Drosophila melanogaster: one gene and its partners. The protein of the gene in region 2 purifies or fractionates together with the protein of the main gene of each other region. This does not show direct contact. Each region holds a gene or a part of one and is shown on either strand. Other genes may lie near its edges.

The links.
Region 1: the proteins of CG8939 (region 2) and Ifrd1 purify together in Drosophila melanogaster (affinity purification with mass spectrometry, with the first as the bait; one large-scale study listed by BioGRID). This does not show direct contact.
Region 3: the proteins of CG8939 (region 2) and RpL7-like purify together in Drosophila melanogaster (affinity purification with mass spectrometry, with the first as the bait; one large-scale study listed by BioGRID). This does not show direct contact.
Region 4: the proteins of CG8939 (region 2) and CG32344 purify together in Drosophila melanogaster (affinity purification with mass spectrometry, with the first as the bait; one large-scale study listed by BioGRID). This does not show direct contact.

The regions. Positions count from the first base shown.
Region 1 is NT_033779.5:2,868,419-2,876,432, forward strand, and holds Ifrd1 (Interferon-related developmental regulator 1), read right to left. Parts: upstream 6,072-8,014; 5' UTR 5,255-6,071; coding exon 5,218-5,254; intron 3,271-5,217; coding exon 2,586-3,270; intron 2,515-2,585; coding exon 2,271-2,514; intron 2,232-2,270; exon of another isoform or gene 2,183-2,231; coding exon of another isoform or gene 1,328-2,182; exon of another isoform or gene 1,234-1,327; intron 1,133-1,233; coding exon 905-1,132; intron 837-904; coding exon 753-836; 3' UTR 209-752; downstream 1-208. Other genes in the region: CG8813 (uncharacterized protein), read left to right, coding at 1,328-2,182; CG8814 (uncharacterized protein), read left to right, coding at 6,970-7,944.
Region 2 is NC_004354.4:15,995,236-16,000,284, reverse strand, and holds CG8939 (uncharacterized protein), read right to left. Parts: upstream 3,270-5,049; 5' UTR 3,162-3,269; coding exon 1,301-3,161; intron 1,240-1,300; coding exon 647-1,239; 3' UTR 587-646; downstream 1-586.
Region 3 is NT_033779.5:12,054,431-12,058,797, forward strand, and holds RpL7-like (ribosomal protein L7-like), read left to right. Parts: upstream 1-1,917; 5' UTR 1,918-1,991; coding exon 1,992-2,002; intron 2,003-2,068; coding exon 2,069-2,717; intron 2,718-2,784; coding exon 2,785-2,898; 3' UTR 2,899-3,462; coding exon of another isoform or gene 3,463-3,783; 3' UTR 3,784-3,821; downstream 3,822-4,367. Other genes in the region: JhI-21 (juvenile hormone Inducible-21), read right to left, coding at 1-68, 655-866; CG34164 (uncharacterized protein), read left to right, coding at 3,463-3,783; Rab3-GAP (Rab3 GTPase activating protein), read right to left, coding at 4,160-4,336.
Region 4 is NT_037436.4:320,673-326,566, forward strand, and holds CG32344 (uncharacterized protein), read right to left. Parts: upstream 4,049-5,894; 5' UTR 3,984-4,048; coding exon 3,981-3,983; intron 3,927-3,980; coding exon 3,377-3,926; intron 3,323-3,376; coding exon 2,568-3,322; intron 2,497-2,567; coding exon 2,221-2,496; intron 2,157-2,220; coding exon 1,257-2,156; 3' UTR 1,243-1,256; intron 692-1,242; 3' UTR 561-691; downstream 1-560. Other genes in the region: Atac3 (Ada2a-containing complex component 3), read right to left, coding at 4,564-5,022, 5,083-5,152, 5,208-5,302, 5,361-5,686, 5,750-5,867.

The DNA of each region.
Region 1 (8,014 bases), on a different chromosome or scaffold from region 2:
CTACACAAAATTTGTCAAAGCAAAGAAAAACAAAACAAAATCCACAAAAGGAAAGAATCCAACATACAATTTAAGTTACCATACAATTTTTGTGATAAAACTAACAAATAAAATACAATTTATAAAACGCAAACTGTTTTTTAAGTGTTTTCTAAAAAGGAGTCCATTGTTGTATCCCCACCAGTAAGAATGCATTTCAAGTAGTTTTCGTTTAAGCCTAAACTTTATTTTACACTTATTTACTACAAAATATATGTATTCATAGAGCCGCTTATTATGCGTATTAAAAGCCATGTCAAGTTATGAATAACTTTTTCGCAGCATTAAAGCAGACTATGTTTTCCTACGCTTGTAATTTAAAAAGATCAACAACAAAAGAGGTTAACCCAAATCGCAAAGCGTAAATGCCAGTCGTAACAATCGCAGTGTTAATTTAAATTCACAAAGAATAAGATCCAAGCTGGAGCCAGCCATGCACTTACTGATAAACAACCACTGTGCGTGCACGCAATAAATATTTCATAATATTCAAACAATGGCTCCAACATGTGGTTAATAAACTAGAGAAATTTTGTAGATTACACTGAATTATCCTAAATTTAGACTTAGTTCTTCAGCTTTGGCGACGCTTTGCCTGGTTCAAGCTAAAATTAGAAACAATTCAACTAGTAAGTCCAGAGTTGGCTAACGGGGTTTGAGATGGTTGGTTTGGGTGTCTGTGGATGGGAACGGTTGGTGGGTGAAGCACAGGTTTAAGTGACGACGGCCGATCGCTTGTCACGATTCTTTCCACGTGTTATGGAGCGTGCCTTGAATGCAGCAGCATTCACAAGGTGCTGCAAAAGCAACAAATATAAATATATTAAAATTTGAAGCGAATGTTAACACATTTCAATCAACTTACCCGCTCCAGCTTGGTCGGCTTGACCTTGGCGTTTCCATTGATGCCTGTGTTCGTGGGTCGTGGTCCCAGCTGGAAGATGTCACGGATGAACTCGTTCTCCTGCAGCTGCGAGGTCATCCCGGGACCCATGACAGTGCACATGGCCGAATACTGATGATGGATGGACCAGGAATCTAGTGTCAGCGACTCGGTACCGAAACGAATGCTAATCTCTGGGGAAATGTCCTCCTGCAACGAGATAAAAAAAACTTTAAAATCAGGCTAGGCTACGAGCAAATATTCTAATCTCATTTCGTACGATTTTGAAATGTATCACTATTAGTTTCTCTATCAGATCAAACAGACCAAATTTCTCGTTAAAAAAAAAAAAACTACTAAAAAAAATTGTTTTGGCCAATTAGTTTTGTAGATTTCGTTATCAAGATGATGCTATCAACCTATCAGCACGACTATGTCCCGCCCAGTGCCAAACGGTACGAGTTTCTAACGCGGCCCAGGGGCGCCGAGGCTCACAGTGGTCCGCAGGTCAAGGAGTGCGAATGCGTCGACGAGTCCAAGATCATGATGCCGCCGAACGCGTCTAAGGACTGTGGCGGCGTCGAGTGGACGGGCATAGCGCCAATGGGAAAGCTGGTGGATCCGCGTATCATACCCACCCAGCTGACTCAGGACCAGGTGGACAAGATGGCCTTCTCCGCGGAAACAGATTGCTTTAAGCTGCAACCCAACCGCTTTCTCAAGATCTTACGTACAGTCTACCCGGATCTGTATGAACGCCTGAAGGTCATGCCCAAGGAGGAGCTGAGCCGCAGGCTGGAGACCAACCGTATGAACACCACCTATCAGATCGATTACTGTAACATGAACGAGTACCCGGAGGGTATTTATGAGAGCCTAAAGACGGAGGACGAGTCCAAGAACGCCAACAAGCTGATGAGCGAACGTGGACCCTGCAACGAGTTCCGCTCGAACGTGATGAACGAACTGGAGCGGGAGGCGTCCGCTGGCTACGAGATGTCTAGCGACGAGTGCCAAAAGAACTACAAGCCATTCAAGACCAGCTTCTCGGACTCCTCGCAGACCATCGAATCCGGCAGCAGTTCGCACTGGAACTCCGCCCCGACCACATACCGGAAGGTGCCGACCTTCAGCGAGTACATGGACTCGATAAGCCGGAACGGCTGCGTCATCATGCGCAACAAGTTGCACGATCACTCCAAGTGCTTGGCCAAGTACTGCAAGCACGAGCTCAAGTTCACTTGCACTGACATGAAGTAATCGTCCAAAGACTAGTGCATCTCGAGTCAAATAAATAAATGTAATCCCTATTGTTTAAGCGTAGCACTCGTGCAAATCTTCAACTCACCTCCAGGTATCGCAGCACATCACGGAAGGTGGCACGCTGGGCCTTGCGATCGCGCTTGGCGCGGTACTTATGCGAATCCGTGGCCAGCTGCTTGACGGCCTCCGATAACTCAGCGATGTCATCTTCTAGGAAATCCTCTTCGTGAGCACGTCCCGACTCCAGAATTAAAGCAATGGTCTCGCCAGCGGCCATGCGGACGTCCAAATGTGTAGATTGCAAGAGACCCAAGAACTTCTTAATAGATCTGCAAAGTTTAGTTTAAACAATTATAGCAATGGGTTTGAAAGTTAAATGGAACTTGCTCTTCAAACTTACGGAAACATGTTTTGGCCAGTGGTCATCAACGAAACAAAATCCCCCGAAGGTATAAGTGTTAGTAGAAGCCCCCAGGCGTTCAAGGCCTCCGCATGGAAAGTCCCAGCTTCGGCGGTGACGGATACCGGTGTCTTGTCATCGCCACGCAAATAACTGCCTGCGAAGATGGCCTCGAAGCTCTGCATCAGGTGTACCAACTCCCCAACATCCTCGCAGCCCAGGAAGCTCAACAATCCCACAGCTGTGCAGCACTTGGCACGGGCATCGAAGCCCACGGACTTGTCCTGAACGGTGTTCAACAGGAATTGATTCATCGCCTTGGATATGCCTTCATCCCCGCCCATTTGGAGCACCAGCAGGGGCGCGAGTCGTGCGCCCCACACCTGCTCCTGGCCCTTGCCTCGACGGATGCTCTTCTCCACGAAATCCATCAGGGTCATCTTGCGGTCCTCCACGAAGTCCGGCATGTAGCGGTGCATGAGCAGTTCGCAAATCGCTTGCAGAGCCTGCACACGTGTCTGGGCCGACTTCTCGGTGGCCTGTTCCAGGGCCTTCTCGAACTTCTCCTCGAAACGCTCATTGGCCAGCTCGTCGGTGGCCTCCGAGGATGCGACTTCGGACATATGAGAGTAAACGCTCACATTGTCAAAGGACTCGTCCTCAGAATTGGAGTCATTGGTGCGGCCTGAAAAAGAAATCATTTGGGTAATTAATAAGGTTTTTTTTTGAAGTATTTTGCTATACTCAGCGAGTTTTTCAAGCATAATTCATAAATATTTATTATGCTAATGCGACCTGTGAGCCTTTTTCAACAGCTATCGTTTTGAACAATATGCTTAATTGCACATTTTAGGCATTCAACGAACCCATTGGAATGTAAGCTAAGCATTTTGCAAATGGAAACTCAGTGAATACCAATGTAATGATTATTCTATTTTCAGAACCCCATTTGTATTCCTTGTTAAATGGAGTAAAATATTGGGACCACCCTCATGCAAGTGCCCACATTTCCCTTCAGTAACTGTCAAACCAGCTGAAAAGAGGCATCAAGTTTTGCCGTCTTCGAGCAGCTTTTCATTCAATTGCTTGTGTGCTCATTTAGATGGGGAAATGTATATGTACTGAAATTAGAAATTCAATTACACGCTTTGCCACACAGCAATGACCTTCAAGAAAAACAGCTCGGGAGCCGCAAATGTTGTGCAACAAGTTTTCTATCCATCTTTCGATGTTTCACTTTGTTTGCTGGCCAACTGCGTCGAAGAAAACCCGTCGTAGAGCACAACTTTCATTGTGGCGATTTCCCAGTGCCTGTTTTCAGCTTTCTATTTGGGGCAAGGTAGTTTCCGCCTCGTTTTTTGTGTTTTTTTTTTTTTTGTTTTGCCTTTCACAAAAGCTGCGAGCAAACTACAAACACAAAAGCATGCGGTAACTGCGGGCTAGAAAAACGAATCAAAAGCAGTGGAAAACAGCTGGTTTTGCTTGAAAGTTGTTTGGATTAGATTCGGGCGAGTAAACCATCTGTGTTTTGAGAGCGACTAATGCATAACACAAAGTTGCGTAAGTTTTTAGGTCACCCATGAGGTATATACTTAGATGCGAGGAAAGTTCCCCGAAGAGCCACAACTTCCGCTTCTTTATTTTTAAATTTAATATTTGTAAATGATTGTATGATGAGCCTATAAATACCAATTCGGATATTTAACTATATAAATAGGTACAGCTTGAATAATAACTTAGCATAATAGAGCACTTAAATAGAATACATAATTTGATACGCCCTACGAAAACATACCCACTGATACCCTGCACTGAGGTATTCGGTTATAGGCGTGATTCTGATAAGCTGGCATTGAGCGTACACATATACATATACATATGTGTACGTATGTTTTTCCACGAACAAGTATATTTATATTTATATACAGTTGTGCTCAACATAGAAACAACGCAGAAACTTAAAACCTCCTCCTTTGGTGAAATGCAGCTATTTAACTTTATATTACATAATTTGGAATTTTTGTCAAAATTACTATGGTTATATTGTTATTATTGGTGGGCAAAGCTGTATAAATTTACATATGTATACGTATGTATATATATTTTCAGTGAACCGCTGATTACTTGTTGTTGCGCAGCCAGCTGAGCGCGTGAAGCTTTTGGTGCCAGCACAGCAACAAAACGAAAATAATTATTTCATTTCGAGGGTATTGACAAACAGGTTGCAGGCAGCGAAGCTTCCTTCGTTTGGAAGCCAACGAAATACACCAAACAGTGCACGGTACTCATTAGTCAGTGCATGACTAATGCAAAGGTCAAACGAAAAGCAGCTGTGAAAATTCACCTACCCTCGCCGGCTTTTGTGGGGATATACTATTAAGTCTATTGTTCAGATGTGCGATTTAATTCGTTTATTTTGTAAAAAACAAGAAAACCATGAGGTTAAGATGGTAATTAAACCCAAAATGTTGCTACTAAAGGCAAAATAACTAATTTTAAGCCTATAAAGTCAATTGTTTCAGCTGGAAGTTCACACTCGTATCCAATAGATATATTATACGCATTTGGATACGTTCAACCTCGCATTTTTTTTCTGTGCACACCCACACACTCTCTTTTCTTTGTGACTCACCTCTGCCTGCTGCTGATTTCTTGTTGCGTCGCGGCATGTTGCTGTTGTTTTTGCGTCGTTCAGGTATTTTGCTGTTTGAACTCGACGACGACGTTTTGGTTTCTATTGTTTAGCCTACTGTTTCAAACACAAGGTACGAAACACAAAAAAAACAGATGCTTTGTAGCCGAGTGTCCTTTTCCTGTTCTGGGTCCTCAAAAGGTGGAGAACAGGCGTCGAAGTCTACACAACGGCGAAAATGTCTACACTTTCGTTGCTTTGGCGGCAACTACTGAAACGCACGTGTTGGTTCCGATTTATTGATTTTGATGCTCTAGGTTAGGAAATTAAATTGCGTTCTTGAGCCGAGCTGTCAATTTTTTAATCTTTGTCTTTCTAACCCGAAACGTTGCCGATCAGGACGCACCTATGCAAAAACTTTGGTGCTTCCAATTTTTGGCAATTCTACACGACTGTCTTTGCCGTTTGCAATTGTTCAACTCCGATCGCGATTTTTGCGGCCGTATCTTATATATAGTCTGCTGATTCTGATGGCTCTGCTGCTTGGCGTTGATAATACAAAAATGTCGTACTCCCGTCGACGTTGCAGCAAATTTCATGTTTAATTGCAATGCGTTCACTTTTCTCCGCGCTGGCAGACACTCCCACTCCGCCCTCGGTTCGCAGTTATTGTGAAATCGAATCGAATGCGCTGTCTTTCGATCTCTGGTGCTTCGATTTTGCTATTTCCGATTCGGCCAGTGAAGGCGCTTCGCGGACTTTACGTTGGCAGCTTTCGGAAAGCTCTAAAAATAATGCAAATAATTAAGCACTTAATTCGATTGCTGATTTTTACGAAATGAAAAAGTGAGTGACCGTATGCGCGAACGTTGGAAAATACCATGAATAGCGGTATATTCAATGGAAGATGGAAGTCTGCGCTCATGCGATAGTTGACTTTCGATAAAGCCTATACCTATAATTATACTATACCTATACTATACCTATTATACCCTACTATACCTATATTTACCTATAATTAAATGTGGCTGGAAATAAATAAAACTAAATAATCTTACTTTATAAATTCATTGATTGGTCCTATGCTTTTCCGCAAAATACTAATTTATAATTTTATTTATGGACAATAAAAACTTCTTATTTTTGTTTAAATCGCGATATTCGCGCTCACAAAAATATCATCTCCACTCTGCACCTGTATCGATACTTTCGTTGCAGCCCTGCGCCACCCGCACACATGCACACCTACACACTCACACGTACGCGCTCAGCGATTTGCAGAGAGAGTTTTCGGGTTTTTGTTTAGTTTTATTTGATTGCAACTCGATTGGAACGACAGCGGTTGGCGCAGCACACAACAATTCCTCAGCGAGGTCGATAAGAACGGGGGCCAAACTAAGAAAAAGCTCCAGCCGACTCGATTCGATTCGAAGCTCAGAAGATTGGACTTCAGAACTCGAACTTTGGCACCACAGCAGCGCATCCACGAACGTCGCACCCAAAAATTCATGAATGCCCAGCAGCGGATTTGGACTCGGATTCGGAATCGGAATCAATAGCGAACGACAACAACAAAAGGGGGAGCCGAAAGTGGGGTTTGCAACACCGCGGATTGCACACAATAATTAGGTAATTTGTAAGCGACGTTCACCTGGACAAGGTGAACTTGGCACCGCCTCTATATGGCAGCCTTCGTACCTGTGTATCTTATCGATCGAGTGCCCTGGCTAATCGCGGGATAATCTTGCAGGTATGGCGGCGATTGAGGAGCGTTTCCAGGCGGCAGTCAATGTGATAAAGGGTCTGCCCAAAAATGGCCCCTACCAGCCCAGCACCAGCATGATGCTCAAGTTCTACGGGCTGTTCAAACAGGCCACCGAGGGTAGACCAGATGTGGACAAGAAGCCCGGCTTTTGGGACATCGTAGGCAAGGCCAAGTGGCAGGCATGGAACGATAACCGTCACTTGACCAAGGAGGAGGCGATGCAGCGCTATGTGGAGAGCCTGCAGGAGATCATTGAGACCATGTCGTTCACGGAGAATGTGCAGAACTTTGTGGGCAGCCTCGATAGTCTGGGAAACATCAGCCTGGACGAACTGGAGCTGGTCTCGCCCGGCATGAAGGAGCTGGCCGAGTCGCATCCCAACTCGCCGTTCCACTCGCGCACCAACAGTCCCCAGCACGGCTCCAGTTGTAATGGCGAACCGGAGCCGGAACCTCAGGCGACTAGCACCGCACCGCTGGCCACATCCGAAACGATTAAGGAGAATGGCCATAGTTCGCCGCCACTGACCAATGGCTATGGACCTAAGCCAACAGCAAGCTACACACAACATGACACGCACAACTTTACGAGCAACAGCAGCGTGGCCATCGTGGATCCCTCGGACGATGAGTACGACGATCCCTACGATCTCAGCCACGAGCTGACCCAGGCGATTGGCCAGAACACGGACCTGCTGCGTCAAATCCAGGCTGCTATCACACGGATGAACAGCGATGTGGGCGCAGTGCAGCAGCGCGTTCGCAGCCTGGAGCAGTCGCTCAACGAACTTCGCAGCGGCCAAAAGGCAGCGAAAGGAACGGTGGCGCAGCCACGATCACTGCCCGCCTGGTGGCCCTTCAGGAACATCTCCCCGCTCTGGTTTGCCGTCCTCATCCTGTGGCCTTTCCTGGTGAGGCGGTTCGCGCGGATGCTTCAGTCCAATCCGCAGCGCAGGCACTGACGCAGGAAAGCTATACTTGCGGAGGGCGGAACATGTGGTAGTTAAATTGTAAGTACAACGCAACTAGACA
Region 2 (5,049 bases):
GTAAACAGCATCTCATTTATAAAATTATTTATATGGAAATGAAATAATATTTAACAGACCGGTATGCATTTATTTATTATTATTATTACAAATTAAAAATAACCTATAATACACTAGCTTACACGGATTACTCCGTATAGCCGCAAACTCAGATATTCAAAATGGTTTTGCTTTCGATATTGTTTAAAATTTATTAGTGCATTACCAACGTCAAATGGCAGTTGGCGTCCAAATGCACGGCATTTATCCAAAAGTCAATACATTTTTTTTTGAAATAACGCATAAAATCGAAATAAATTAAAGAATTCAAAAAGAGTGCAAAAGACTTCCTCTGAAAACATACACTGTGTTTTTGAATGGCTCCCTTTCGGTTTCTTGCAGCTGAAAAATGTTTTTTTTTCGAATTTCTTCGCACTTAAAGGCGTTGCAATGGGCATGGAAAAGTCAATAGTCAGCTGAATTTAATATAAATACATATATTCTTCAAAGGAAACAACAGTTTTGCGTTTATATTTGCAGTTTCGCATCTGATTTCTTATTTTAAGTGTATAAAATCATATTCAAAGAAAAAAAAAACTACCTGATTCGTTTTATATATATATTTAGTATCTATAAAATATTACATATTTATTTTTTAGATTTACATTTATTTACGCCCCTTCCCCTTGCGACCCTTCGAACCCTTTTCGCGCCTCTTCTTTGCATCCATTGACCGCTTGTCCTTCTTCTCGCGCGGATCGACGACCTTATAGCGACCCTTGACGCCAGCTGGACGACGTGCGCGTCGAGCTGCTGTCTGCTTCTTGGCCACCACATATGTGACCTCCTTCTTCTTCTCCTGAGCCTTCTTGTACACCTTCTTCAGTTGCTTGGACTTCTCGTGGTTGGTGGCATCGCTGTTCTCCATAATCTTTTCGGCCATCTTCTTAGCCTTGGCCAAGCGTTTCGTGGCACGACGATGCTTGCGCGCCTTGGCCTCCATGACCTTCTTGATCGGACGCACGTTCACCTCCTGCAACTTGCGCTGGTACTCGGCGGTCAGCTCCTTCGGCACCGGTGTTGGCTTGGTCATATGCTCGTCCTCATCGAGCTTGAACCAAACGGGAACGTTCTCATCGTTGAAAGCGTAGCGATTCCAGGCTGCGTCGATCAAGTCACGGCGTGTCTTCTTGCTGCGTGTCAGCAGTGCGCCCAAAGCCATTTCGTTTTCGGACAGGCGAACCTTCTTGGCATTTGTACCTGATAAAAAGCAAACGAGAATATTAGGTTTAGGAATATTAAATGCTTATTTTGAACTCACCTGCAGCTGGCTGTTCGCCGTCGCTATCCTCGTTAGCGTCATCCTCGGATTCGGATGACTCTGAGCTGCTGTCTTTAGTTGCGGTCTCATGGCGTGCACGACGTTTGGCCTTCTTACCCTGGACAACCTCCTCGTTGGCGTCCGGCGTTAGGGTGCTCTCACCCAGAACGGCGACACCCTTGGCCTTGAATTCCTTGGCCAGATTGTTCAGATCGTAGGTTTCCTCGTCGTCATCCGACTGGATATTCTGTAGTACATCCTTCTCGTACCACAGCTGTACGCGTTGCTCTCGCTTGGTGTTTTTGTCACGGAAATCATTGGATTTAATCAGCGGATTCTCGGAGCGTTTCTTTCTCTTGTTTTTGCCCTTTGCATTGCCCTCATCATTGTCGTCGTCACTGAGGCCCAGGCCCTGCTTATCATTGATTTGATCCTCGTCGTCGGAGGCCTCGCTTTGCTCCTCATCATTGTCATCGTCATAGTTTAGATCATCGTTGATGTTGCCCTCATCCTTGTCGAAATACTTGTATTTTGGCAGCTTTGTTTCCTCGGGCTGCGATTCATCGACAGCAAAATCGGGTTGCACGTCTAGCAGCTCGTCAAGCTCGGCAGAGGTGCGAATATTCTTGAGGTCAAAGATTTCGTGCTCCATTTCCTCGACCGGACCATCGTCTCCCTTGATCACCATATTAAGGTTCATCTTCTCGTGCAATTTCGCCTTGGTCTTGAGCGTCTTCTTACGCTTACGCTTCAAGTCCTTCTTCTCCTCTTCGACAATTGTCTCAATTTGCGTTTGCAGCTCGGCATCTTCCATGTCCTCGATTTCCGCTTGCGTCAATGGCTTGGGCTTCTCATCTGCGGCATTGCCGACGACCAGTGGGGTTTCCTTTTCAACGAACAACTCCCTAACATCCTTCCACCATTGCACGAGACCCTTGATATCCTTGCGGCCCAATACCTTCAGATCCTTGCAGCACTCGAGAATCTCTGGCGTGGTCTTCTTGTGATTGGCAATGCGCTGATCATCGATGCGAATCGAACCGATGCCCTGCAGCGCAGCCAGTGCATTTTCAGCCTTCAGGAACTCTGTGGCAGCCAGATCGTTGCGCAGCGCAATATCCTGGGCCGTATAGCCCTCGGCCTTGATGCGCTTTTGCTTTTCGGGATGCAGCAGGCTGCTCTTCTTTTTGGCATCGAGATCCAGCTCCTCGAACACATACTTCGAGTCCAGGAGACGGGGATCAATGTGATCGGGCGCCAGGTAGCCCTGACAGACGACGAATATCTCGGCGGATTCCTTACGCGACGCACTCGGCTTGGTGGCGTGCACCTTCTTGAACAGCTGCTTGAGCACCCAGAGCAGGGCATTGTAATCCTTGGAGCGGAAAACCTTCGTCACAAACCAGCCGCCGTTGCGCAGAAACTGTGTGCTCAACTTGAGCGCGTTGAGGGTGAGACAGATCTGCTGATAGGCATCGTACAGCCAGTTCCTACCCACATTGGGAGCACCGTCGTGGAGCACAACATCGGCCTTCCACGATTGCAGCTCCTTGGTCAGCGATTGGCGGCACTTCTCGGTGGTGATGTCCTCGACGAGACCAATGCAGCCGGCAATGGGACGGATGGGAAAGAGATCCACGCCGATCACAATGCTGGACACCGGCATATTCTGCTTGGCCACCTGCATCCAGCCACCGGGAGCTGCGCACAAATCCAAACATACTTGCGATTGTTGGAGGAAACCGAATTTGCGATTCAGCTGGATCAATTTGAAGGCGGCACGCGATCGCAGGCCCGTCTCCTTGGCCAACTGGTAGAACTTATCCTTGCGCGTCTTTCCAACTTTCGTCTTCTTGCCCATTGCTGCTGGCTTTTCGTACAATTACGATAAAAATCAAAACGAATTCAAATCAAATGTCGAATTCGTGCACGTGTTGCCAACAGTGTGGCCGTATTGACAATTCAAAGTATTCCGGGCAGTGCCAGCATGCGCGTCAAGGTAGCGGCGATTGAGTGCTAGATAAGTGGAACGTGTTCTTAAATTGTGGAATGCATTGGGGCAGCGGGTGAATTTTTTTAAAATTTCTACTTTATTATTTATAAATTTAAAATTGGTCGATCAAAGTGATTTATATAAATTACTACACACTTTTGGGAATAACTGTAAGATGTGGGGTGAAGTACATTAAGCCGTAATGAACCATAATAAAAATAAAATACGCCTAAAATTAAAATTTTTTGTCTGTTTTACAGCTGCCAAAAATCTAAAAAATTAAAATTCTTCTGTTTTTATTGACCAACCCCACATAAAAGAATGATTTCTATCTGTGAGCCAGATAGTTTTAATTAAAGAAGAGCAAGTGTATCTACAGATGCTCCATCTCTTTCTATTACGTGTATAGATTATCTGCAAAGGATAACGCCCTTTTCTTTAATACTCCCAAAAAACCATTAATTAATACTTCGTTTTGATTTATTAAGTTATTTGTGTAAAGTTGTGTATTTATATATTTTTCTATTGTTATCCAAAATGTTTAATGCAGTACCTTACTTACTGAAATACATTGAATGGTTTCATTTGACCGTAATGTGAGCGAAAGTCTGTCAAAGACATATGTTATTTATCATTTAAAATTATAATCGTTTTGTATACTTTCAAATAATCTGTTTTCATATCCGTTTTAATTGGGGGCAAAGAGTAGTGTACACTTCTTACTAAGCGAAAGACGAATTTGTTCTTGATTTTATAATGCAATTAAGTTGGGAAGTTCGTTTTTATAGCAAGAAATCCATTAAGATTTAATGTTTAATACTTTTTAGGATGTAAGAAACAAACAATTGTTTTGAGACTTTTAAAATACACGTTAATAAATCTATTAAATGTTATAAGCTGTTAAATAATACAATTCGTCCTTCGATAGAAATGTGACATTTTGTTTATCCAAGACTTTTCTTTTCCGTTTTTACATTCAAAATATTTTTGTAATTAGTTGACGTGTGTGCGGATAACAACAACATGTATTATTTATTTATTTGATATACATCGTATACATGGTTTAGTTTCGTATTTTCGTATTGTTCAAGTTTTTAAAAATTTCGTACAGTTTTAAATTCAGTAAACACTATTTTGCTGTCGTATACGTACTGTAGCCAAAAAAGAATCGTCATAGTATGATTTACATGCAATATTTGTATATACCCGCAAATGTAGGTAAATGTATTAAAATATATTTATACACAGCTGCGGTCAAAATAATAGCTCTGAAACTTGTGCCTCCTCCACTCGTTGTGAAAATATTCGTATACTACCAGTTTAATCGAGTTTCTTTGCATATGTTTTCGATGGTTAATATATAAGCTAAATGGGGCTATGCAGAAAAAGTCACTGCATTGGTTATTAACCCTTTTTAAAGAACGTTGATCAAATTATAATCGCTTAAGCGAATTATTACGTATTTATGTATTTTACAGTTGACATGCCACAAACAACATGCTTTCCATTTCAATTGATTGTGAATTAAAAAAAAAAAGCGAGCAAACTTTTCGTTTTATGTTCGGGCAAAAAATATTCTTAATTAGGCCATTATTCAATTGTCGACTTCTTAATACATCCTGCATGCATATATTGTTAAAAAGCAGGAGACTGTGTCAATTAAAAAACCATATCAGCTTATTTACTTTCTTTTTTGATTTAAGCAGGCAAAGTTTTTTCTGCCAACCAAAATGTAGCAAGCACAAACTAACTATTA
Region 3 (4,367 bases), on a different chromosome or scaffold from region 2:
AGCACAGAGCTCCGATCGTCGATAAAATGCCGCAAGTCAGCCAAATCAAAAGGGAGCTTCCCACGGATCTGAAATGATTTAAAGTAGTCATCGAATCAATAAACAATTTGAATGAAAATAAACACTCGTAAACAAATATGGTCAGGGAATACATACATATATATATATATAAAGCAATAAAAATTATAAATATAGATCTAATATTAACTCGGTGGCAAATATTTGTAAGCAATAATAGTAAAATGGTATTTAAACAAAACATCTAAAAAAAACAAGTGCTGGGGATTAGCTTTCATTTCGATAAAATACTTTTATGAATTTAACTTCCTGGAATTTTTCGCAGCCGCCTTAAGCTTATGACGCACACCTTTTTTTGTGGCTCTTATCAATAATTTAAATGTTTGGCGCGCCTTATTGACGTTATTCTTGTGACTGGAGACAATTCGCTTAAAAAAAAAAAACACTTTAAAAAGCTGACGCAATATGTGGGCAGAATTTCAAGGTTGAATCTTTGAGGGAAAATCGAGAACTAATAAATGTATCTTAATTGGTGCTAAAGGAATGCCTGCGACAATCTATCCATTAATTAACAGCTAAATTGACCTTTTTTGTGCATAAATTGAATTAAGGAGGATGCTCTGTATCACCACTCACTCGGTGTAAATAAAGACTCCCGTGGGAGCAATGAAGATGCCCGATCCAATGATGGTGCCCACTATGATGGCCACTCCATTGATGAGTGTTAGCTTCCGCTTGAGGACAATCTTCTCCTCGCCATCAGCGGGATTTGGATTACCCGGCGCGGCGCATCCATTTGTGGGCTCGACCAGGCTGGTGGTCACTCCATTGGCATATCGGTCCGTCATGATGTCTGCACTGTGGGATTCTTCTGCTTACCCTCTTCTAATGGCGAATAGCGCACATTGTCACTGGAATGAAGGGTAAAAGTTGAAATGTAGAAAAAAAAGCCTTCATTACTATCAGCAAATGGGGCGCGAGCACGTGTTGCGCAAATTGTAAACAAATGCTATAGTGCTGATTTTAGTTACTAATTGCTAGTGAAGAAGACCCGATTTTTGCCTCGCTGGCAGCTAACTAATCTCCCATTGTCAGGCATAAACTTGAATGTTTCCCCGACGCCACTATCTTCGATACACGAAATTTAGCTTTAAAGTAGGGTGATTTTTGGGGTTGGCATGTTGTGGTGTGTAGCTGCCTAATGGGGAGCTCCACTTTTATGGTGACGCCTTTGCCGCGTGCCAATTTCCACGATTTCGTCATCACCTTACGACGCGTGGCAATGAATTTTGCAGTTGCAGAGTTGCAGTTTTTCTGGCAATTGCTCGATTGCTTTTATTCGCTTCTTTTTTTTTTTGTTGGTTATTCGCAAGGTTTGGAATGCAGTTTGGCTGATTAATTTCGGTTTATCTTGTTCCCAGCGACTTTGCACGTAAAACACGATTTATTTTACCTCGAGAGCGCGGACACAACAAAACGGCTTTGACTGCGAACAGCGACTGTGCGTTGGCATCGAGACCGGCATTTTCATACTAAAATTAACGCAATTTTCACCCTAAAACGCAGTGAGAGAGTGAGAGCAGCAAACGGAGAGAGAAACAGAGAGAGAGAGAGAATGAGTGTAAAGAAAAAAAATGAGAAATGAGTGCTCAAAACCGGAAATTAATGTCAAATGGTTACTTACAAGAAGAAAACATTAAAGCTGTCCTCTTGAATGCTAGCTAATGCTAAATTTATCTTATGGCATAACTATTAAGCATAGTTTTCAGTTGAATAATACAATTTCTTAAATGTTCCCGCCAAAAATTTCAAATTTGTTAGCTATTCACCACGAAACGCGCTCAGCTGTTGCACACATCACTTATCGATAGCAAAGCACTTATCGCTCCGCGCCCACCTCTATCCTTTTTAGTTATTGTTTTGGTGCTTGCACGTGTTTTAATTTACTTCGATTAAAAAGCCAAATACCAGCAATGTCAGACAAGTGAGTGATTGAAAAACTATAAAAATGTGTTGACCCTAAACATTATCTTATACTTTTGATCCCTAGATATGCGGTGCCCAACAAATTGCCCGGCAAAACAGTGTCGGTGCTAAAGCATCGCAAGAGGAGAATTCTGCAGGATGAATCTGTTGTTACGCAGAAAAGAAATGACCGCATCAAAAAGAGAACCGCCACCAAGAATCACCACAAATTCCGCCGTGCCGAATCCTTCGTAATGGGCTACCTGAAAGCAGAGCGCACGTCCAAGCGGATCAAGCAAACCATTCTGCGCACCAATGTCACCGAACAAAGTGCCAAAGCTGCCGACGATTCCAATCCCAAACTGCTCTTCGTGATGCGCCATGCGGGCAAGAAGATCTTCGACAAGACCACCGCGGATATATTCCGAACCCTGCGCATGGGCTCGCGCCACAACGCCGTCTTCATGGAGAACACCAAGGAGAACCAGTTGCTGCTGCGCGTTATCGAACCCTTTGTAGTCTACGGCAATCCCTCGCTGAGCTCCATTCGCGAGCTGGTCTTCAAGAAGGGCTTCGCCCGCATCGACGGCAAGAAGACGGCCATCCAGTCGAACACCATGGTGGAGCAACAGCTGGGCGACAAGGGTGTCATCTGTCTGGAGGATATAATCCACGAAATTTGCACAGTGGGTCCAAACTTCGCCGCTGTAAATGAGTTTCTGTGCGCCTTCACGGTTGGTTAACAACTTCTCTTTTGCAATTCTTAAAACTATACTATTACCGCCATTTGGTTTTTTCCAGTTGTCCAGTCCCAGCAATGGTTGGCAAAAGAAGGTATCCGTCTCGTACAAACGCGGTGGCGAGTACGGCGATCGTGGCACTGCCATCAACGAACTGATTGCCCGCTGCCTGTAGAGACCCTAGCCTAGTAAACCCTTAAGTGATTGTTCAACCTCTATAACCCATTCTGTAGCTAAGCCCAATACACATCTATATACAAACGTATTCTATTTGAGCGTACTTATTTAACGAAGAAAATAGATGGTCAGGTCAGCACTATCGTGAGTTTACTGTATGCCTATAAAAGCAATCCTGCGACTATTAAGGAACCACATGAAACTGTCTCTAACGACATTCCTCATTATTCTACATGTTTATCAACATGATAAACTTCACCCACGAAACAAGTTCTTTGCTTCTTGGCCTTGCGTGTCCCAGCCGAGTTCCCAAATTGAACAAACCAGAGAATCAACTTTCTGCCTCGAATAATAAATAAGTCATAACCGAGGTGGCTCCTCGCAAACGAAAGGTATGCCAAACTGAACTACTTGTTGCCATGAAGGAGGAACTGTTGTTTTTCGATTAGTCGGAGTCAGTGCCACTAACCTAGTGCAACTCGGGTCGTCGTATCTTTTGTTCGGATAAAACTCCAGGGACTACACATTGGAATTCAAAATCCTTAGATTCAATTAATTCTCAATGAATTCAAGTTTCAACAGCGAGCAGTTGGACACCGACCGCGATGGACTGCAAAAAATTCTGGCCCGATCTCTCAAGGAACCCATTCTTGGCAAGCACTTTGCCCTGCCTGGCCGCATAGAGCAGAGTCCACCCATCGAACTGGACACCAGCCAGAGCTACATTGCCGTCTACACTCATCTCAAAGTGCACGCCACCATGATGCCGGAGAGATTGCCCACGCCGGAGGCAATCGGACGAATACAGGCGGAGAACTTGGAGGCAGCGCCCAAGGCACGAAGTTCAAAGACCCGCTTGGATCCCTGCTCAAATATAAATTAAATTACGTTGGGCATCAATAAAGAAAGTATTGTTATTTTATCTTTTGGTATCCCTTAAATTTAGTAAAAGAATATTAAAATTTTTTTTTTTATTTTATTAAATATACATGTTCATAATCCTTGTAGGCATAAGCTTCACATCAAATTCGTGTTGAATACATCCTCCTATCGGTGCAGATCTTAGTATCCTTTTTCTTGAAAGTAATTAATATGATGCTTTTCGTAGGTTGTTTAAATCGCTACTAGGTTGATAAGTATAAGACAATTAATGGGACCGCATGTGGTGCTTTAACAATCAATATTGGGTTCATTCTTGAATCCATAAAAATCATGAGAGAAATGTAAAATAACCAAGTGTTTATGTGTCATCCTCACTCCTAATTCTGCAGGATACGCACGGCGTTGTACATCTGGCCAATGATGGGCAGCTGCTTGGACTCGCGCCGGCAAAGGTATTTGTAGGCATGCGACAACAGCCTGTCCAGGGCAGCCACATCGATCTCGTCGGGCTTGGTGGCCGCGATCTGAATGTTGTTCTCCGTCATCGGTTCCTTCTGCGTAAGCGGCGTGAGAAATGGATCAGTA
Region 4 (5,894 bases), on a different chromosome or scaffold from region 2:
TATCTCAATCAATAAGTGCACTGCAAGACAACTATTTTTGTTACACCCATATGGTTTTGTCTCTGTGGACATCGGATATTTCTATTAATGTACAAATTCTGTGACACTAAACTATGATGATCCGAGAAAACGGCATTCGTCGAATCCTTTCCGGGGTTTCCATGCGGATTTTAGAGAAACATATTCCATAAGCACCTCTTGGAAATGACCCTTTACAAGTACTGAGAAAAATCTGGAGACACATGTTCGGAAATAAAATTTGGGCCTATTCTGAGCACCCCTCAACTGCAGAATTAGTGAGCAGAAGTTGTTAAGCGTATGGGTGATCCTGCCCCATGCTCATGTGGCATCTGGCATGTGGCTTCTACCACTGGGTTAATCGACAGCGACTAAGAGAGTGCGAACTGGTCCAGGGGGAATCGAAATAAAACCATATGCGCCCTGAAAGTATTTTTGGAACACACGAACCCAACGAAATGGGAGGATTCGTTGGTTCGGTTGATTTCATGTCATTCCTGCTGCATTTTTGGTGGCTGTCGCCACACCCAAGTCTAAAAAGTGTAGTTCATCGTTTATTGTGTATTATTTTAAAAACACTCTACATCCAGTAAACAAATATGGGGAGTGTTTCATTGGAGGAAGGCGATTTGTCAGAACATTACCCATGCGCTGAACGTCGGTCCCAATGCTTCTGTGGATTGATAAAAAAAAAAAATGATACAATCAGTCGCGGCAATACTGTCCTACGCAATTTCGATTATGTTCATTTATTTATATTAAAAGTAGCAAGGAACCAGTCAATTACGTGACTATCTGCGGGAAGCGGCAGCAGTGCGATATTGTAATTGATGCAGGCACGGAGCTGTTGAAAGCAGATCTATAAACACAGAACGAGATGAATAAGTGGTGGCAGCTGTTTCTTTTTTCTGTTCGTGGGCGCAGGCAAGAAGGCACACAGGATGTGCGTGTCATCAGACAGGCGCGCCCGAATCCGAACCGGAGCCTACCCTCACTTGACCTGCGCAGGGTAAACACACCCTGTGGCACATCTCTCGGCACGCACATACTTCGCCGTGTTCTATTTGGGTCACGTGTGAAAGGAGGACTTAGTTCCGAAATCAAGGGCGCAAAACTAAAAAGCATGTCTCACTTTTGACTTTACAATTGAATGGTGTGCTACTAGAACATTGTCCGTTTTGGTAGGGAGGAGTTAAATGAAAGATATGGTGTAACTGTACTAACCTGCGTAAAAACTCCTACTTCCTTCTTTTCGAGCCCCCAGTTGATTGAGCTTTGGGGCGCTGCGTTTTCCGCATGCTGCGCTTGCGGTTTTCGCTTTTCCTCTCTGCGTTCTCTTCGTTGCGCTTTTTAATGAACTCCAGTCGCATGCGAGACTTGACAATTTGCTCGGGGCGGCGCATCTCCTTGTCGTTTCCGGTCAGTCGCTTCTTAAGTTCTAGCTTTAAGTTGTGCCGCGCATGACGACTGACTGGGTAGCGCTGGGCATGGCTCAACGGCTTGGCGTTTTCGTCATCACTACCTGCATTTTCGCGCTGCAGCTGGTCCTCGATCTTAGACTTCTCCTTCCACTCAGCATAACGACCTGTTTTAAAGGAGGCAGGAATCCACGCACCGGACTCGGTCCGAATTTTGTTGGCTCGCGGATCTTGTACAGAGACCATTTTTTTCTTAATTCGGTCCCACTTCTTAAGGCCGGGCTTGTGCTTCACTTCCTGGGATAAGTCGCGGTCCGACACCGAAAACTCGGCGTTCTGCGCCTGCCGCTCAAAGTTGTTAATGGCCAGACCATCCTCTGTGTGCTTGTCTGCCGACTGGTACGGCACATAGTGATCCTCGTCCTTGCTGTTTATCTTCCGCTTTTTCTTCTTTGGCTTGTCCTTGTAAAGGGCGTCCATGTTCTGGAGCCTCTTGGGCGCAACGACTTTATTGAAAGTACTACTAATAGCTTCCTCGTCGGCGGTGGGCATTCTGCCTGAGCTTGGGTTGAGCGCCTCGATCGTTTTCTTTTCCTCGTCTATGTCCTCTTCTGCGCGCTGCTGCCTAAACTTGTTGATTACTTCCGCATGCTGCATTCGTTTTTCCTTCATAACGATAAACTGCGTGGACTTTTGAGTGGTGTTGAGTTCAAAAACGGTCTGAAAAGGGCACAATTACTAATACGTGAGCGAGCATTTATCGTAAAACTGTTGAGAAACTCACACCACCAGGACGGAAACTACGCATCTTCACCAGTATATCGTGCTTTTCCTCCTGCAACTTGCGCTCTGCGGCGCTCACCTTTGCCTGCGACTCTGTTGATTGTCCACTAGCTTCAGCCGCCTGGGCGAGCACAGGGGCAGCTGTGAAGAAATCCTCCAATGGCTTGAGAGCAAAGAATTTAATTTTCTTTACACGCGCGTTGGCATCCGTGGAGGCTACTGGTCGGGAACTCAAGTATTTTTTGTAGGCGTTTTCGCTGGTGCGCAATACTCCGGCCTGCAGAAATACATGTACAATTACGTATCATTAGAAACCATAAAATGCAGTACACTCCATTTGAAACTTACAATATGGTGACTTTTCTTTATATCGGTCACTGTGAGGTGCTCTTCCTCGAGCAAATCTTGCGGAATGGTTCCCAATGCCGAGCTGTCGTGTATATTAAAGGGTCTGTTCAAGAACAAGTGCAGATCCAGTAGATGTGCTGTGTCGTCTGTGGATACAATAGAGTATGCGGTTCCTGTGCGACCAGCGCGAGCGCAACGACCTACCCGGTGGACAAACAGTTTCGGTTTACCCGGGAAGTGCAGGTTCACCACAAAGTCTAGACTGGGAATGTCAATACCACGCGCGGCCACGTCCGTGACTATTAGCACGGACACCTTTTTGTTCACAAATTTGGCGGTGTTTATTTTGCGTGCAGCTGGATCCAGGCTGGAGTAGACTGAGGCGTTGGAGATTCCAGCCTCAGTAAGTATGTACGAAATGAGTTCGACATGGTGCTGAGTACCGGCGAACACCACGGTTTGCGACTGCACCGGAATAACGTACTTAAGAAGAACCACAAGTGCTGTGTAGCGGTCGTCTGGTCGACAGTACAGAAACTTTAGAGCCAGCGCATCCGGGAGCTTGGATTCGACGTCTAAACGAATGAGCACTGGGTCGTTCAGTCCGGCACGGGCGAACTCTACTAGCAGTTTTGGCAGCGTGGCTGAAAACATGACCGTCTGCCGGGACGATGGCAATCTGTGCAACGTTTCGTTCAGTTGCTCGCCGAAGCCCATCTCGAAGAGTCGATCGGCTTCATCAAACACCACGTACTCTAGAGAGCAAATAAATTAATTCCTGCTTTTATGGTCCGCAACTATCAACTCACCTATGGAATTTAGCTTCAAGTCCATTTCTACGCACAAATGAAGAAAACGACCTGGCGTTGCAACAATTACGTCCGGACAGGTATGTATGGCCGAGAACTGTGAGTCCATGGAGTCGCCACCTAGCACCAGAATGCTCTTCAGTTCCATAAAGCGGCCCAGCTCCTTTATGAACTTATACGTCTGCACAGCCAGTTCGCGCGTCGGAGACAGGATCAGGGCACGGGCCCCCTTTGTGGGCTCGCGCCTCTGTAGCTTTTCAAAGAGCGGAATCAGAAAGCAGGCCGTCTTGCCAGAGCCCGTCTTGGCCATTGCCACCACATCGCGTCCCTCCAGGATCAGCGGAATCGTTTTCCGCTGTATGGGGGTGGGAACCTTGTAACCCCGCTTGGTGATGCCCTTTATCAGCTCGAAGCCCAGGCCCATCGACTGGAATCCACCACTCTTGTTCTTCTTGGACTTGGACTTGAGAATGTCGGCGCCCCGGTCGCTGGTGCCGGCATCGTTGTCCAGTGATGGAAAGCCTGGTATTTCATCCGCCTGCTTCTTACGCTGCCAATGCAAAGTATGTATTGAAAGCTAAGCAACAAGAGACAATCCTCTTACCATATTTTTTTTGTTTTGAATAAAAACAACACGTGCAAAATCGATGACTATTCCACACTATCGATAACTCCATAAATTATCCAACACTGATTTCTTAAAAATTGACTAACGCTACAATATACCGCATTGTAATTGGCGCTTAGATTTTCATTTGATTAACTCGCGTTTTATTATTTTAATATTTACTATTTTGAGTAGACCATCTTTTAAATCGACCATATATACACTGCCGATTAAAATTAGAGGATAGCTTACATATGCCCAAAGGGAAAAAACCTCATAAGACCTCGACCAAACGGGAAAATAACAGATATAAAAGACTGGTGCGATTTAATAGCTATGTAAATGTATTAAATAAATGCTACATCTTGTGCAGATTATGGATTGAAAATGAATTTTTTAAACGATATATTTCTATCGACATCCGAATTGGTTTAAAGCTCTCATAGCATTCAAGTTATTAAGGTTTCGATAAGAAATGGTATGAAATCGTCATTAAACTGGGTGCTTTACAAATGCACTTATCGGCTGAATATCCTAAATATACCTTATCGAACTTACGCTAAACTTATCTTTGCATTAACTAAACGTCCTCTCCAAAATCCAAGTCCGCCTCCGACTCTTGAACCAGCACCATCTGCTCCAGGCGGTCAATGCGCCTCAGCATTTCCTCCTTTTCCCGCTGAAAGGAGTCGGCCCGCCGCCGCAGGTCTTCGTTTTGACGCCGCAACTCGTGAAGCTGGCGACAGATCTCAGAAGAAGTTAGCAGCGGCATCACGTTCGGAGATTTCGGCGACTGCTTCGTCGCATTGACGATTGTCTTGCCAGGTGCCGCCCCGTTGTTTACTGCGCCTTGGCCGGATCCTGCCGAGAGTGAAGGTCGCAGCTGTATCGTCTGGACGGTGCCCACTTGTCCCCTAAGCGAACTGCCCGACGCGGGATGGCCTGAAGGCAGTGGGGATGGGACCGCGGCTTCGTTCTGGCTGTGTGATTCTTCTAGCGCAGTGAGATCCTGCGGCCTTTGCAGGGAGGGGAGCTTTAACTAATTAAGCGGGGTTCAAGTAAAGTAAGGAGGTGAGCTCAGAAACTATTTAATATTCACCTGTCGAGCCTGCAACTGGCGCATGTTGACTAGCTTTGTGCCATCGGGAAGATGCCGCACCATTCCAGAGCTGTCGATAAGGCAAGATCTTATATATATCTCCCAAATATGTGAAATTAACGTACCTTGCCAATGAGGCGGGTATTTTCTGAAGGGACTTTGCCGTGCTGTCCGATCCGTAGAGTTTCTTAAAATCAGTCAACGAGATAATGCGTATATTCTGCCCTCAAATATTAATTATTATACGAATTAGCGAAACAAAACAATGAAATGCATACCTTGTTCTTGGCAACTCCCGCCGGTGACGGAAGATCCTTCTGCTTCAGGACATTCATCCGAATCTTGGGATGAGAATTATTAACATTTGTGCGGAGCGCTGCGACCGAAGGCCGGGCGTTTCCGTTCGTGGATTGCTTGCCGCTGATGCCCGATTTTGTTTCGTGCAGCAGCATGCGTCCTCCTTCAGAGAGGACAAGTTGGCGTCCATTCTGCAACGCAGTGTTCAGCATTTCTTTCGAGTCCTCGTCATCGTTGTCCTGCACCATGTCTGCGATTTCGTGCGTCTTTAGTATGTAAAGCGCAGTGTTCCGCAGGACGTTTGCATCTGGCAGGGAAAATAGGTTTTTCGTTAAATATTCGTTTAATATCTCCGAATCTAGTAACTTACGGCCTCGCATGTTTTCTAGGACATCCATTCGTTCTTCAACCGACATTTCTTTGTCGTCCACGGTTTTAATTACTTCCGGTTCGTCCATTATTGAGCTGACAGCTTCATTGGTTTCCTTCTGCAAATCGATGGGGAATAAATATGA